Elephas maximus indicus: one gene and its partner. The protein of the gene in region 2 purifies or fractionates together with the protein of the main gene of each other region. This does not show direct contact. Links are inferred from orthologs where the notes say so. Each region holds a gene or a part of one and is shown on either strand. Other genes may lie near its edges.

The links.
Region 1: the proteins of CDC25C (region 2) and SUFU purify together in Homo sapiens (affinity purification with mass spectrometry; 4 studies listed by BioGRID and IntAct, counting the BioPlex papers as one, with this or other methods). This does not show direct contact. The link is inferred for Elephas maximus indicus from reciprocal best matches to the Homo sapiens genes CDC25C and SUFU.

The regions. Positions count from the first base shown.
Region 1 is NC_064834.1:54,066,456-54,074,119, forward strand, and holds the start of SUFU (suppressor of fused homolog), read left to right. Parts: upstream 1-4,562; 5' UTR 4,563-4,755; coding exon 4,756-4,937; intron 4,938-7,664. Other genes in the region: ACTR1A (alpha-centractin), read right to left, coding at 2,273-2,320. UniProt on the Homo sapiens protein: Negative regulator in the hedgehog/smoothened signaling pathway. Down-regulates GLI1-mediated transactivation of target genes. Down-regulates GLI2-mediated transactivation of target genes. Part of a corepressor complex that acts on DNA-bound GLI1.
Region 2 is NC_064820.1:151,423,336-151,430,961, forward strand, and holds the start of CDC25C (M-phase inducer phosphatase 3), read right to left. Parts: upstream 3,041-7,626; 5' UTR 2,505-3,040; intron 2,328-2,504; exon of another isoform or gene 2,321-2,327; 5' UTR 2,316-2,320; coding exon 2,122-2,315; intron 268-2,121; coding exon 164-267; intron 1-163. UniProt on the Homo sapiens protein: Functions as a dosage-dependent inducer in mitotic control. Tyrosine protein phosphatase required for progression of the cell cycle. When phosphorylated, highly effective in activating G2 cells into prophase.

The DNA of each region.
Region 1 (7,664 bases), on a different chromosome or scaffold from region 2:
CCAAGGCTCCAAATCTAAAAATGTGGCAGATATTTGGGAAGTCCTAATGAGAAAATGACTTAAGCTCCTACTTCACCTTTTGGCAGAATTACTGGCAGAATGAAGGAAATGTTTTCCCAGAGAAAAGTCAATCCTTTAAACATTAAAACTGAAAATGCACCACTGCTTTGATGCATTTCAAATACATTACCAGGAAAGACAAAGGAGAAACTAAGACGCATTAGTTTAAACAACATTAAAGAGACTGGCTGGAGACAGAACTCCTGCCCAGCCATTCAAGAAGCAAAGGATCCCCTGGGTTGGATGGCTGGACTGCTCCTCTGTACTGCTGATGAAAACAGGAAATTGTTGCCAATTGCTAATTTCTTTCTAACTAAGCAAAAGGCAGATGAAACACAGACTGGCTGAAGACTGAAGTAGCAGTGTTCTCTGGAAATCAGCATCACGAACAAGGAGTCCTGCTCAACCCTCTCAGTAAATAATGGGGGCTCCCTGCCATCCTTTATTTAGGAACATCTTTGTTACTGTGATAAGAGATGTTCATTCATTCAACCACCTGCCCATCAGTCCAATGAAAAAACATTTATTGGGCACATAGTGTGTGCCAGGCACTGCCCTAGGTACTGTGTATATGGAAACGGGAGAGTAATAAAAAATAAAGGAGTATCATTCTTTTTCCACAAGGATTTCAAAGTCTAGTGGAGACAAAAAAAAAAAAAAAAAAACTCTCCCAGAAGGGGTGCCTCATTGAGCTCAAACAAAGCAGAAGCCACACCCATCCGAGAGAAGAAAAACGAACAAAAATAACCTTTCCTTGGAAAGAGTGAGGAACTTGGAACCAGATCTCAGTCTGAGTCTTGGTGCCTTAATTCACAGGCCAGGTGGTTTGAATATGTTATTTAACCTCTCCAAGCCTCAGTTTTCTGCATAAACTGAGAAAAATAATTCCTACTTACCTAGCAGGGGAGAAGTTTAAACAAGGCGACGCTGTACCCAAGAGCTGGCTCAACAGGGCGAATCAGTTAGGACTGAGGAGATTGATAACTTCAAACCCATCCAGAGGCACCTGGAAAGTAAGGCCTGGCAATCTGCTTCCAAAAGGTCACAGCCTTGAAAACCCTATGGAGCAATTCTACTATGCACGCTTGGGGTTGTCATGAGTCGGAACAGACTCCACCACAGCTAACAACAAGAAGAGGCACAGAGAGGTATCAACTGATCTTAGTGGGACCATCACCCTTGAGCTGAAGACAGAGATGCCGTTGTTTTACAACTGCCCCTCCTTCCCCATAAAAGTAGTATTCAGAGTCTTTCCATTTGTCACTACTGATGCATTTGCGTGGGTGCCAGCAAAAGGAATAACCGGTCAAGCCCTGTGTGACCTTGGGCTCACGCTTCAGATTTCTCAACTATTAAATGAGGATCAAACTTCCTGCCTTAACTATCCGCCTAGTTTTTGTGAGCATCCAACTCGAATGTATATGAAAGCGCCTTGTAAGCGCTGGAGAGCCTTGCAAATATTATGTTTAGCTAATTTTTTCCGTCAACAATTAGGCGTTCCAAATAGAAAGGCATCTCCCAGCTTGCTTTGTCATTCTCATTTCTTCTAGGCCTTTATTAACTTTATAATTATAGAAATAACTGAAATTCTACGGCCATTTCTGGCATCAGATTTTCGGGCCCCACCCAGATACACCACCATGCTGCCCCGCCCGCTCGGGGCCGCAGGAAACAGCCCCTCTCCTCCACCCGCAGGCGGGCCTTCGCCCTTCTAGTGCCACTGAGTTCCCGAAGCCAATCCCCACAGCGCTGGTACACCGCCCCGCCCCTTAGAGAAGGGAAACACTAAGGCGGCCCGGAAGAACGGCAGGAGCGTGAGCCAATCACTGCAGAGGGCTGTCCTCATCCGGCAAGGCCCAGAGGCGGGGTCACCAGTCAAGATAGACAGCAAGAGCAGCCAATAGAATTAACAAGCACTGGGGACAGGGCAGGCGCCGGTGTTCACAGAGCGGTTAAGGCCCCTCGAGCCAAGGGCCCACCGACCCGGCTCGGACTACAGCTCTTTCCTTTGCCTACTCCAGAGTTCTCTATCCCACGGTTGCCGCCTGGCTGCCCTGCCTACGAACTACGGGTGGGGGAGGACGTTGGCGACGGCGGCTGAACCCGCCTGACAGGCCGGGCCAGTGACAAAGAGCCGGGCAGAAACCCGGGAAGCTATCCCTTCGGGGAAGAGAGCAGAAGTCCCTTTAGAAATAGGAAAGATGCAACTCACGTTGTCGATCACGACAGGCTGGTTGGCGATCACATCGTAGGACTCCATCGTAGAGGAATCTCTCCTTCCGAGGAAAGAACTGCCAGCCCGGTCCGCTGCTAACGCCGCTGACACGCATGCGCAGTCTAGCCGCCGGTATAGGGCGGCCAGGGAAGGGGTCCGATTTCGCCTCCAAAGAACTACAATCCCCAGCATGCTTTGCGCCGGGGTTTGCTAAAAGGCCCGTTTTGGAGACCCGCCTCTTAAACATGGATTGAGCGTCCGCATTTCCGTCGCACATACTCTGGGGTTTGTAGTCTCCGTTAAAAAAATAGATGGAGACGCCGATTGATGCCTGTGTTGCATTCTTGGATTTGTAGTCCCTTTGAAAGGTTTCGCAGTGCATGCCGAAGTGTGTAGTCTTCTTGAGTACTTGTCTGTATTTCGTTTAGCATTGGTCAGTAATTCGTGAATGTGGTTTTTACAGATCAGTACTGCCCACTCCACCCCCACCTCACCTGGACAAAATAAGGCTGCCATGTTTTTATTTGGGTCTTTAAGACTTTAAAAAACAAACATCTACCACCATCAAACTTGAACAGAAAGGTCATTTTAATACACATATACACACACAAGAAACTGCAAATTTTCAGAACAAAGGAAATCATTTAAATTCCATAAAAATTTGCTACAAGAGAAAAGCAGTACATTGTGGTTACTATTCCCGTTTTCTCCTGGATAGGCGTAAATTTAGTAACAGATTGACATTGGTCTGAAGACTGGCATTTGGAACTACTGGTAAAGGTGATCTTTTGGTTATTAAAATATTGTTCATCCAAGGATTTCAGCTGCTTCTCTAGTATCATTACAGGAGCTAGAATTGACAAGATTTTGATAGGTGAGGAAACAGAGGTGAAGAGAGGTTATGTGTTACTGCTCTTAAATAAACACTGCATTTTCCTCTTGTTTTCTCTAGGGCATCCTTCTGTTAAAGTTGCAGAGACCCTTTGGTCAATAGCACTGGTAGCCACTCCCTCCTATCCGTTTATCTTGGCACTCCTTCAAGATCATTGAATGAAAGTGTTACTGAATGAAGAGTTATTGTAAACAGGAAAATAATTTTCCACCTCGTGCCTAAGAAATTAAAGAAAATTCTCCCAGATACAGAGAGTAAAGATAATGGGAAAGGACAGGCCCATAGTGGATAATGAATATTGGTATTCCTCAAAGCAAACTGCATACATCTCCTTAAAGCAGAACAAAGAACGAAATTATCATTAAAAACATTTATTAAAGAATTACTAAGTCATATAAATTGACACTAGTTTAACCAACTCTTGTTATTTTCTGAACAAACCTGTAGCCCTGGAGTTGATTCCGTTTCATAGACACCCTATAGGACAGAGTACGACTGACCTTTAAAGTTTCCAAGGTTGTAATCTTTAGGGAAGCCGATTGCCACATCTATCTGCCAGCGGAGCCGCTGGGTGGGTTGGAACCGCCAGACCTTTTGGTTAGCAGCCAAATGCTTAACCCCTGGGCCACCAGGGCACCTTTACTTTCTGACAGTATGCCAAAAAGTATTTATTACTTGTTGACTTATTTTAGGAGCCCTGGTGGCCCAGGGGTTAAGCGCTCGTCTGCTAACCTAAAGGTCGACGGTTCCAATCCACCCAGCGGCTTCGCTGGGAGAAAGATGTCTGCTTCTGTAAAGATTACAGCCTTAGAAACCCTAAGGGACGGTTCCACTCTGTCCTACAGAGTCGCTATGAATCGAAATCGACACGACGGTATGGGTTTTGGGGACTTATTTCAACTTCAGTTCCCTGAATTTGGTCGCTATAGGATCCCTGTGAATCAGGATCGACTAGACGGCAATGGGTTTTAACAGTGTCAGTCAATACGTCCACGGACGTTCAAAAATAGTAGGAAACATTGGATTAATTAATCTATTAAAACTAATGCCACACGGACGAGTGAGCCAATATACTGTCAGATTTATTTAAATCTTGGTTAGTAGCGTGTAAGCTACTAACCTAACCGTAGGTGAGATCACGTCACAGTGCCTTTCGTGGGACCCTAGCACCTCACAGGGTTGCCTCCCTCAATGTCTCTATTTAAACATGTCTTCCTCCCAACACTAGGGGGAGACCAAGAGCCTTGGGACACCCCCAACTCAGCGATGAGAAGGCGGGGCCTATTGTCAGATCACGCCTTTCTCACCTGTGACTGGCACAGACGCTAGCCAATAGATGTCAGCATAGGACGCGTTTGCGGCCCGCCCATTTGAGAGCTCCGCAGCCCCCAGGCACCCTCTGGCCGACTCCGAGGCTGCGGCGGCGGCGGCCTGGGCGGACAGTGTGTAGTGCGCAGGCGCAGACACTAGACCTCGCTGCAGCCCCCTTTGCCTCGGGGAGTCGCACCCAAGAAGTCCGCCCGCTGGCCAGTCAGTGCTCTCCCCCTCACCCTCCCTACCCGGCTCCCCCAGCACCCTACGTGCCCCAATGGCGGAGCTGCGGCCTAGCGGCGCCCCCGGCCCCACCGCGCCCCCAGCCCCTGGCCCTTCTGCCCCCCCGGCGTTCGCCTCGCTCTTCCCCCCGGGACTGCATGCCATCTACGGAGAGTGCCGCCGCCTTTACCCCGACCAGCCGAATCCGCTCCAGGTTACTGCTATCGTCAAATACTGGTATGCCCTGGGCCGCGGGGAGACGGACAAGGGGGCTGGGAAGGGTTAAAGCGCCGGAACGAAGAAATTTGCAGGGGAAGAGAGGAGGAGGAGTAGAAGGGTTAAAGCACTTGCAAGGAGGACTTCCTGCTGCGAGGGGAGAATTAAGGCACAAGTTGGGAATGGGGACAAAGGGGTTAACGGAGCCTGTGGGCAGTGAAGGGTTAACGGAGGAGGGGAGGATGAAAGGTTAACAGATTAAAATGGAGTAAGAACTGGGGTGTGTGAAGGAGCAGAGAGGGGTGCGTTATGAGAGAGGGAACTGTAAACGTGGTGAAAGGAGAGCGCGCCAGTAGGGGGTCATTAGTGGAATAGGGGAAGCTAAGGATGGGGGTCGGCTGAAGTGGGATGGGGAAGGCTAGGCGGGGCCTGGGGAGCATAGGAGAGGGCTTTGGAGGAGCTCGGCTGGAGGAGATTAGAGGGCGTGAGACTGCCTAGTATAGGGGCGACTGCATAGGATAGGGGCGGGTCTGGGGGCCTTCTTGAGAGTTAGGAGGGCAGCCCATTGAAAGAGTAGTGTTTGTGAAGAGATGAGGTCTCCTTTTCATACCTTCTCGTTGAGCTCCTACGTAATACCCGAGTAAAACTTTTGCTTTTGAAGTTTGACCAGCACTCTTCCTGATAAACTTTTTGCTTGCTCTGCACAGTGTTCCTCCTCTGTGCAGAGCTCCCTCTGGCTCTGCAGCTCCTTTGCTCTGGGACATTGGCTAGAACAGGAGCAAGCTAAGGAGATCCATGGTTTGGCTCAGGATTGAAAGGGCCACAGCTTTCCACTTCCAGTAGGAAGTAAATGACGGAGACCTGGGGCTGGGCAGGGAGGGAAGCAGTGCTTTCTGGCCACCCATTTCAGGACTCAGGCATTAGTTTCTCAGGGCAGCTGATATTCCTCAAGTAGTTCTGCTGAGGATCAGGCTGGGTTACAGATGGGTTACGCTTGGTGTAGGAATGGATCTTTTCTAGTTTCCCATCCCTGTTTGCAACCTGTCTCTTCCTACAGCCTCTGGGCAAAACAGGTGTTACTGGGACTCTGGAAAAGAGCCCATCCTCTTGGTCTTTCTGGGCCAAATGTTGACTGAGGAATTGGTTGAGTCCAGCACCACACTCATACAGGGACTGTATTAGATGCTCCCTTTCAGTGGGTCCTGAAAGACAGTTCAGACAGCTAGTTGCTTGGGGTGTGGCCAAAGGGGCAGGTAGACTCCAAGGTGGAAGAGAGTGGATGTCTTGGCTGGTTACCATTCCCATTGGGACTGAATCTTTCTCCTCCACGAGTATGGCTTACTTCCTCTGGAGATGGCAGTCGCTAGGCTGTGCAGAGCTGAGGCTTGCCCCCTGTGCTGGTGGGAGAATGCCATCGGGGCCTTGGGACCAGCCACCTGCTCCTCAGGGAGGGCCATGGGGAGCAGCCTGCCTCTGTCTGGGCAGCCAGGAGGAGGTGTGGCTGGCGGTGCGCTTCTGTCTGGCAGGAAAACTGTTCTTTGGTTGAGAGGAGTTTTTGGAGAGCCTCTGACTGGAAAGCAGCTCTTGCTAACTTAACCAGCCATTCTGATTGTGCCTCTATGTTTAAATATGTGTTGGGAGGAACTCTGTTGAAGTGTATCTTGAGAAAACTGGGTCTGGCTCTGTCATGCTGTTTGTTCAGGTCTCCTTTGAGTGTGAGGAGAAATCCCTCCACAGACTCAGGCAACTGTTTTTGTCTGTTACCCAAGTGGCGATAAAGGATGGTGCTGAATGTGAAAGGTATTGAAGCGTGTGCAAATGACTAAGACTAGTTTGGGCAACTTTTTTTTTTTTTTCTTCCTGCTGCAAGCTTGTTAACCAGGCCAGTACTTAGCTTCAGAGACTGGCCAGCATGTAATGATGAATAAAGATGATTGCACAGCACTTGGTGAGATTAGAAATGCTGCCTAGATGCAAAAAAAATAAGAGGGAGTAGCTCAGAGACAGGATCTTTCCAAGATTCGAACAGGTTTGCATAATTAAGATCCTGAAATTCATTCATACCCCTCACATTTGGGATCCCATGTGTTGCATGGCTCCATGAAGCCTCTTCAGTTCTCTAGCAGAATGATTGAGAGGCTGCCTGCTCTGGCTGTGGCCCAGGGTACTTTGGGATTCCTCTCCTGCAGTGGAAGGATGGCTCTTTCGCTAATGGTGCTGGCCAGGGATGACCTGCTGAAGGCTGAGACTTTGTGAGTAGGGAGCAGAAGCATAGAGGCAGAGCCTATGCCCTGGGTCCATTCTAGTCCTGTAGGTGGCCTGTGGAGTGAAGTCCGGTGTTCGAGGCTCCTCTCCTCTGGAATTAAGTTGAAGGATGCTCTGGTTCGTTGGCTAACGTCTTTTTCTAAGTACAAAATAAGATTATTTTCTACATAGGCATCTGATTCCAGTCAGGTCTGGGAGTAGTAGAACAGAACACTTTGTGCTTGGGGCCAAGGTTAAATTTGTCTAAGTCTTGGCTATTCCCTGCCCTTGTAGTTTTAAGGACAAGCCTCTCCCCTTGATGGGACACCTCCTTGGACATGTGGAGATAGAAAAGGGCTGCAGTGGTATGACACATGGAGCACTGAATACTGAAAGCAGGTTTACCACTTGTTGGTGTATGGATTTTGGCTGAAGGAGAGGCAGGATTGGGAGTTTGTAGCAGAAAACTGGAGCAGATATAGGGCCTGTTGTCATTCTCATCCG
Region 2 (7,626 bases):
AGAAGTTACATTGGTTGCCAATCCACTAGTTACCCACACATTTCCAACTTCAAGGCTCGCTACACTCTTTCATCATCTTCCATCTCTATCCTACTAGCCTGTTCTCTCCCTTATGTTATTCTTCCCACTGAGGCCATTATGGCTGTTATTCCCTTCTCCCTACCGGTTTTATCAAAGTCTGAAGAGGTGGTAAGCTGAGTGGCAGACATGGCAGACATCTCCCCACTGCTAAGATTCGAAAGATCAAGGCAACGTTTTGGGGTTCCTCTGTCGAGACATAATAGAACATCAAAATTCCCATTAGGTTATAACATCCTTAAATGAAAAAAGCATAACATCCTCATTTGCAACACTCCTCAATAACTGTTACAAAAATCTGAACAGTGTCCAAATAAATCTAGTAACTTTTTGGGAAACATTTCAGATTAATAATGAAACAAGAAGCCCTGGTGGCACAGTGGTTAATCTAACTGTGCCAAATGAAAGGTCAGAGGTTCAAACCCACCAGCCAATCGGTGGGAGACAGTCTACTTCCATGAAGATTACAGTCTTGGAAATCGTATGGGGGATTTCTAATCTACTCCATTTTAGAGGGTCAGTTTGAGTCAGAATTGACTTGATGGCAATTTTTTTTTTTAATTGTGCTTTAGGCGAAAGTTTACAGAGGAAATTAGTTTCTCATTAAATAATATATACATTGTTTTGTAACATTGGTTGCCAAACCCAGGATGTGTCAACCCTCTCCCCTTCTATACCCCAGGTTCCCTATTTCCATTCATCAGTTTTCCTGTCCCTTCCTGCCTCCTTGTCTTTGCTTTTGGGCTGGTAAGCCCATTTAGTCTCACGTACATGGTTGAACTATGAAACATGTTCCTCATATGTGTTATTGTTTATTTTACAGGCCTATCTATTCATTTTCCTCAAAAATCCTGTGGTTGAAGGAGCAGAGCGTGTCCTTTGGACCAGGGATCCCTGTGCCTGAGAAGCTCCTTGACCAGGGGAAGAGTGAAGACAAGGACCTTCCTCCAGAGCCAACAGAGAGAGAGAACCTTCCCCTGGAGCTGACGCCCTGAATTTGGACTTTTAGCCTACTTTACTGTGAGGAAATAAATTTCTCTTTGTTAAAGTAAGAAAAAAAAAAAAGTCTTCTGGTTGAAAGGTGAACTTCAGGACTGAGTTAAAATAGTGTCCAGGGGCCATATTCTCTGGGTTTCTTCAGTCTGTCAGACCAGTTAGTTTGGTCTTTTTTTGTGAGTTTGAATTTTGTTCTACATTTTTCTCCCGATCTATTCAGGACTGTGTATTGTGATCCCTGTCTGAGTGGTCAGTGGTGGTAGCCAGGCACCACGTAGTTGTGTTGGACTCAGTCTGGTGGAGGCCTGTGGTAGTTGTGATCCATTAGTACAGCAATGGGTTTTTTGGTCTGGTAATAATGGGAACTAGGCTGAGAAAAATGTTTCACCTTTTCTTTACTCCAATAACCTGTATCTCAATTTCCCCTCACCAACATATTGAGACAGGATAATTTTTTTTTTTAATTGAGGCCCAAAGTTTATTGATCTACAGGTCTTGATCTTATGTCCTCTCCCCTGTGCACCATGAGGACACAGACTTGATTCCTCCCTGGGTTCTGTAGTACTTTTCAGCTCTATAAATCTTCAACTTCATTTGGTAGCTGAGGCATCTGGACACGAACATCGCCAGAATTTAAAGTGCAAGAACACACACACATATTGATTCCGACTCATAGCGACTCTATAGGCCAGAGGAGAACTGCCCCATAGCGTTACCAAGGAGCGGTAGATGGATGTGAATTGCTGACCTTTTGGTTAGTGGCCGAACCACTGTGCCACCAGGGCTCCAAGTACAAGTACGATAACACTAATAATAAAGTGTGCAAAGACTTCCCCAGACATCACGTCATTAGATTCTCACCCAATCCTGGTAAAATAGGAAGAAACTGTTATTCCCAGATCACTGAAAAGAAGCCTGAGATTCAAAAGGGTCACAGTTAGTCAAGTGGCAGAGGTGAGACTTAGACCCTTTTCCTAGGGCCAGGATAATTTATAAACAAACTAGAAAAGCAAGAGAAATAAAGTGTGACTATAAAAGTGAACTTACCCAGACAAAATGCTTAGGTTTCCAGAATCAACCAGGAGTTTGTCCACCGGAGTTCTAGGGAGACCTGGACACTTGGTAAAGGAAGTCTCTCTCTCCAGCAGCAGGTTTAACCTCTTCCTTTGATTGGATCTAAAACTGGGTCCTGAACCAGCGCCTTCCTCCTCTCTTGTGGATGAGAAGGGATTTGCAGACATGGGCTCTAAGTTCTCACCAAGAAAAAATTAAACCAATATAAGAGGACAAGGTCATCTATGTAGGTGCATCACTGATACATCACAGCTTTCACAACAACCTCCCTAACCCTTTCCAGCAGCGGTCAAGCAAATCAGTATTGGAGTACGGGCATACCCAAACGGTGATCTTTTTGGTGGATCCTAACTTACCGAGAGGCAACTCAGGGCTTTAAAGATGGGATGAAGAAAGGCCTTTGATTTGTTCCCGGCCACACAGCTAAGCGAGTCCTAACCGGAACTCAGGTCTCCTAATTCGCGATAATGCCTATCAGGTCCTCCCGCCTTAGGTTTGCGGGGTCCCGGCTGGACCCGGAGGAGACAATGGGGTCTCCGTGACTCCGTGGCGTAGATGGCTCCGGGCCTAGGTCTTTTGGGTCCTGAGCCTTGTCTTCGCGAGGAAAGGATCGGCCACAAGCGAAGCCTCGAGCAGAATTAAAGAAAAGAACAAACTGGGGAAAAGAGGCGACTAGCCAGACTATTTTGCTCTTCAGCTGGGTAGGCGGGGGCCAGGCTTTGCAAGTTCTCTCGGCAGAATGGAAGTTACAGTCTCAGTGCAAGAACACCAACAGCCGTAGACCTTGACCATTCAAACCTTCCGCCCTCCCCAATAACCTATCCACGCTTGCCTCTAAACTGCGTCAGCCGATCTCGGCGTGCCCGCCTAGACGTCCTCAGCCAATCGTACATCACCTCTGGGCGTGCGCTTGCTCTGGAAGAGCAATATTTGCCCCGCCCCTGGATCAGAGCAGCCCGGCGATTGGCCCACCAGCTTTAGACAGGAAAAAAAAAAAAAAAAAGCTGGATAAGCCCCGCCCCACAGGGAACCTGGAGCATTATTGGCCCTCCCTTTGACCAATCGCCACATCCTTCCTTCAGTCTGCCCGCAGCCTCACCAACCCCGGGAGATTTAAATTGCGACCACTCGCTGGCCTAATAACACGAGCGTTTTTTTTTTTAGTTTAGATGGGAGAGTTTGGAGAGCGTCTCTTTTTTCTTGCTTTTTTTCTCGTGCTGTTACGCGGACCTTTCCCTTCTAGCTTTTCTAGCTTTCCGCTGGCGATGGAGCATTTGCCGCCGGCGTGGCAGGTGTTGGGAAGAGACAGGTGTGTGTGTTTATGCAGAGCGGCGTCAGCCCCTCCCAAGAGTTTCGGTGACCCTTTTTAGGGGTAGCATCTGAGACTCTATGTAGGGTAAACAGGAATTCCTTTGCTGGGAGAATAGGAAAGTTGAATAATTTCTTGGCATAATCCTTATCACAGTTCAAAGAATTCAGTCTTTGTTATGGAAATTTGTCTTGACTAAGTGGTATTAAAGGAGCTTTGGTGGCATAATACGGAGAGCCTTGGTGACGCAGTGGTTAAAAGCTTGGCTGCTAACCAAAAGGTCGGCAGTTCGAATCCACCAGCCGCTCCCTTGGGAACCCTATGGGGCAGTTCTACTCTGTTCTACGGCGTCGCATGAGTCGGAATCACTCCACGGCAACGGGTTTCCTTCTTTTTGGTTGGTGGCGCAATGGTTAAGCGCCTGGCTGCTAATGAGAAGGTCGGGGGTTTGAACCTAAATCTTTAGGCAGTCTGCTCCCTGAAGATTTCAGCCTAAGAAACCCTGTGAGGCAGTTCTGTTCTGTCATATAGGGTCGCTATGAGTTGGAATCCAGTCGACAGTACACAACAGCTGATACTAAGTTATTCATAATTTGGGGGATTTGCTTTTAAATAATGGGGTAGGGAAAACCGGTGTGTATACATGAAACAAATTGGCCATGAGTGATGGGTGATTGGTACACGACGCCCACTAGTACTTGTCAAAGTTTAATGTGCATTCTAACCACCTGGGATCTTGTTAAAATGCAGATTCTGACTCCCTAAGTCTGGGTTGGGGTCCAAGATTCTGCACTGCTAACAAGGTCTTAGGTAATGCTGATGCAGCTAATCCTAGGACTATACTTTGAGTAGCATTTAAAAAAGAAAAAACATTGCTGTTGAGTGGATTCCGACGCGTAGACCCTACAGGGCAAAGTAAAACTGCCCCATAGGGTTTCCAAGAAGTGGCTGGTGGATTCAAACTGCCCCAAGGCATTATGCTATTCTCTTCACTGCTGTGTATTATTTGAAATTTCCCATAAAAGTTTAAAATAAACTTGTAAGCTCTTGAAAATGCAAGAGCCCCAAATACTGATTCAATAGGTCTGAAATGGGGCCCAGGAATGATCAAGGCCCCCAGGTGCTACCAAAGCAGATGGTTCGCAGACCACACTTTGAGAAACATTAAGTCAGAAATGCAACTTTATCTTTGAGAAAACAATAAGTCAGAAATACCACATTTATCTGGTGTCAGAATCTTGGTGGTGGTGGTGGCTGAGAAGCATTGTAGTCAGCTGGTTACTCCCTGATACTCCCTTCATCTGTAGAATCTGCTTCTCTAGAAAGGAGATGTGTGAGGAGTCTTTGTCTTCTGGGATACAGATGGTGAATGCAGGAGTCAGCACAGAGTCACGCCATGCCAGGTGAGTTTGCAAATCAGGCTGGGAATTAAGAGAGTATGGGATGAGTTGGTTCTGCTTTGGTGACTATAAATCACACTTTGTGGGGCACTGTGTACTTCCCCACAGTAGAGACATATGACATTGTCCTGCAGCGACGGCAAAAGCAGATAGATTATGGCAAAAGCACACCTGGCTACCAGGGCTTTCTGCAGCAGGTCTCCACATGAGTCTCATTGTGGGGTGGTCACAACAAGGGTGCCCACCAAGTTGCTTTGGTTCAGAGGATGGAAAGATACTAGGATCTGAGTGTTTTGAATGTGCTCACAAAGTTGCAGAACTACTAAATTTCTTGTAATCTAGCCCTAATATTTCCAAGGTTTTTTTTTTTTTCAAGTGGAACATACTTGGTCCATTGGCTTTTTTAAAAAATTGATTGTGGTGAGATATATATTTCAACAATTTTCTGTCTACAATTCACTGACATTAATTACATTCACCATGTTGTGCAACAATCATCATGTTTCCAATTTTTTTCACAGTCTTTAACAAAAATTCTGTATCTCTTAATATCCCCGATTTTCCTCTCCCACCCGCCCCTCCATGTGACTTTTTAAAGCTCTATCTGTGTTTCCTAATGAGGTGGTTTTCCTTCCAACCATTTTTACCATCGTCTTCTTATGCCTCCTCTTGACTTGGTAATTGCAACATACTTGCCTAAGTACATGTAAATTTACACACACTCATAGAAATTAAATGCATGAAAATGAACATTTGTTTTAAAGGGAAGTCAAATATTTTATGTCTACCTTGATTTCCAAGAATATATCTAATTTACCCTTTCCAGAAGAAAGGCTATTAGTGAGGCTGAAAGTTTGGTGTATAATCTGAAGATCTACTTTTTCTATTTGATTGAGGACACTGGTCTTACTCATTCTCAGGGAATTTCTAACTAGGCTCCTGATTCATTGTGATAAGTAGTGAGCTGTGCCCCCTGCTATACAGGGCCCCCTTTCATATTGACCTCAGCCTGACCCACATTTGTTGTTGCCAGGGCACAGCGACAGCCAGGGCTTCAACCTCAGACGCCAAACAAGAACAGACAGTACAGCCATCGCTCCTGGGATGCCCAGAACAGGCACTGGAGAAGAGCCTTGCATTCCTGGGATCCGCCCAGTCAGCCCCTTCAGGGCAGGGCTGCTCTGGGGTGTGCTGACTATTTCTGGTTCCTTCAGTGAGTGGTGGGCTGAGCCCCACATCTCCCCACTTTGCAGAGGTTTATCTTTCACTGCGTGAAAAGGGAGGGTCTGAATAAAAGGCATGTTCCTCTGACTCTGCTGCCTTCCTAGACAGGGAATGGAGAGTCTCTTAGAGCCAATGGACTCCACCCCTTTGGACAATCTACTGGATGACTGGCTCCAGGCCCTGAAACTCTTCGAGAATCTGGATGGAGACCAGGTAGTATACTCTGCTGAAACTCCCTGGAGCAGGGTCAGAGATGAGGTCTAGCCCAAGGGCACAATTAAGACGAAGTTCAAGGTAGCATCCCAAGAACAAAAGGAAGCAGCTGGAAAAAAAAATAACAGGTCATGACTTAAAAACTTGAGAACTAAGAGAAGGGTATAAGGAGATTTAAAAGGAGCCCTGGTGGGACAATGGTTAAGTGCTTGGCTGCTAACCTAAAGGTTGGTTATTCAAACCCACCCAGTGGCTCCATGGGAGACAGTCTGCTTCCATAAAGATTACAGCCTTGGAAACCCTATAGAGCAATTCCATTCTGTCACATGTGGTCACTATGAGTCGAAATCGACTCGATGGCACCTAACAAGAAGGAGATTTAACTATAGTTAGTAATGGAGGTGGAGCTTTGGGCTATACTGAGTGCTATTTTACCCTTGATGAAAGAGGGGGTATAGCCTTCCTTTGAGGCCTGAAATCTGCTCAGTTTTTGTTTGATTTTGTTTTTTAACGTCTCAAATTCTTTCAATGTTTTACAAGTTAGCCAATGCTAACTTAACTTCTTTTACTCAGTCATTTAACTTTTGTAAGCACGGATAATTTAAAAAAAAAAGTGGGGGGTATATAGCCTAGTGCTTTACATAACCAGGGCTTTAGAGGCTCATAATTGGTTCTTTGCCCACCACTTGGGCACTCAACCTCTTGGGCTGTTTATTGTCTCATTTGGTGATTGTAAGCAAAAATGAGAATACATTATTTAAATTATATAGCACCGTGCCTGGCACATATAAGTGCTTCACAGCTATTACTGAAAACAGTGTCTCCTATGCTTCATGGTCCCTGCCTCTGCTTCTTTTTCACCAAGGGGAAATGTGCATGGCAAGGTATATCCCCCTCCCACTTTCTTATAAATACCTCACTTTTCCTTTATTCTTTTTCAGTTAGCTGACTTTGTGGCTCCTGCCTCCTCCCTTCCATGGCTCAATGAGGAAGATCCCTACAATGACTACTTTCTAGCTGAACACAGCTAATTTACCTGTACCACTCCTGAGTGGGGCACAAAATATTTACAGAAAACAGATGTCTTTCAGGGGACTTACTTGCATTACTACCACTTTCCAATCAATTAGAAATCTAAAACTCTACCCTACAAAGGGATCACAACCCAAAGGCATTGTTTAAAACCTCTTCTTTTTCCATCTGTTTGCCTGTCTCTCTGAACCATCTTTGATGCTAGCTGAGACTCAAATTTACATAAGAGCCAGAAACCATCTAACTGTTCCCCAACCTCTTCACCTTCTACTACTTTCAGTCTCTTTGAAAAGAATTTAA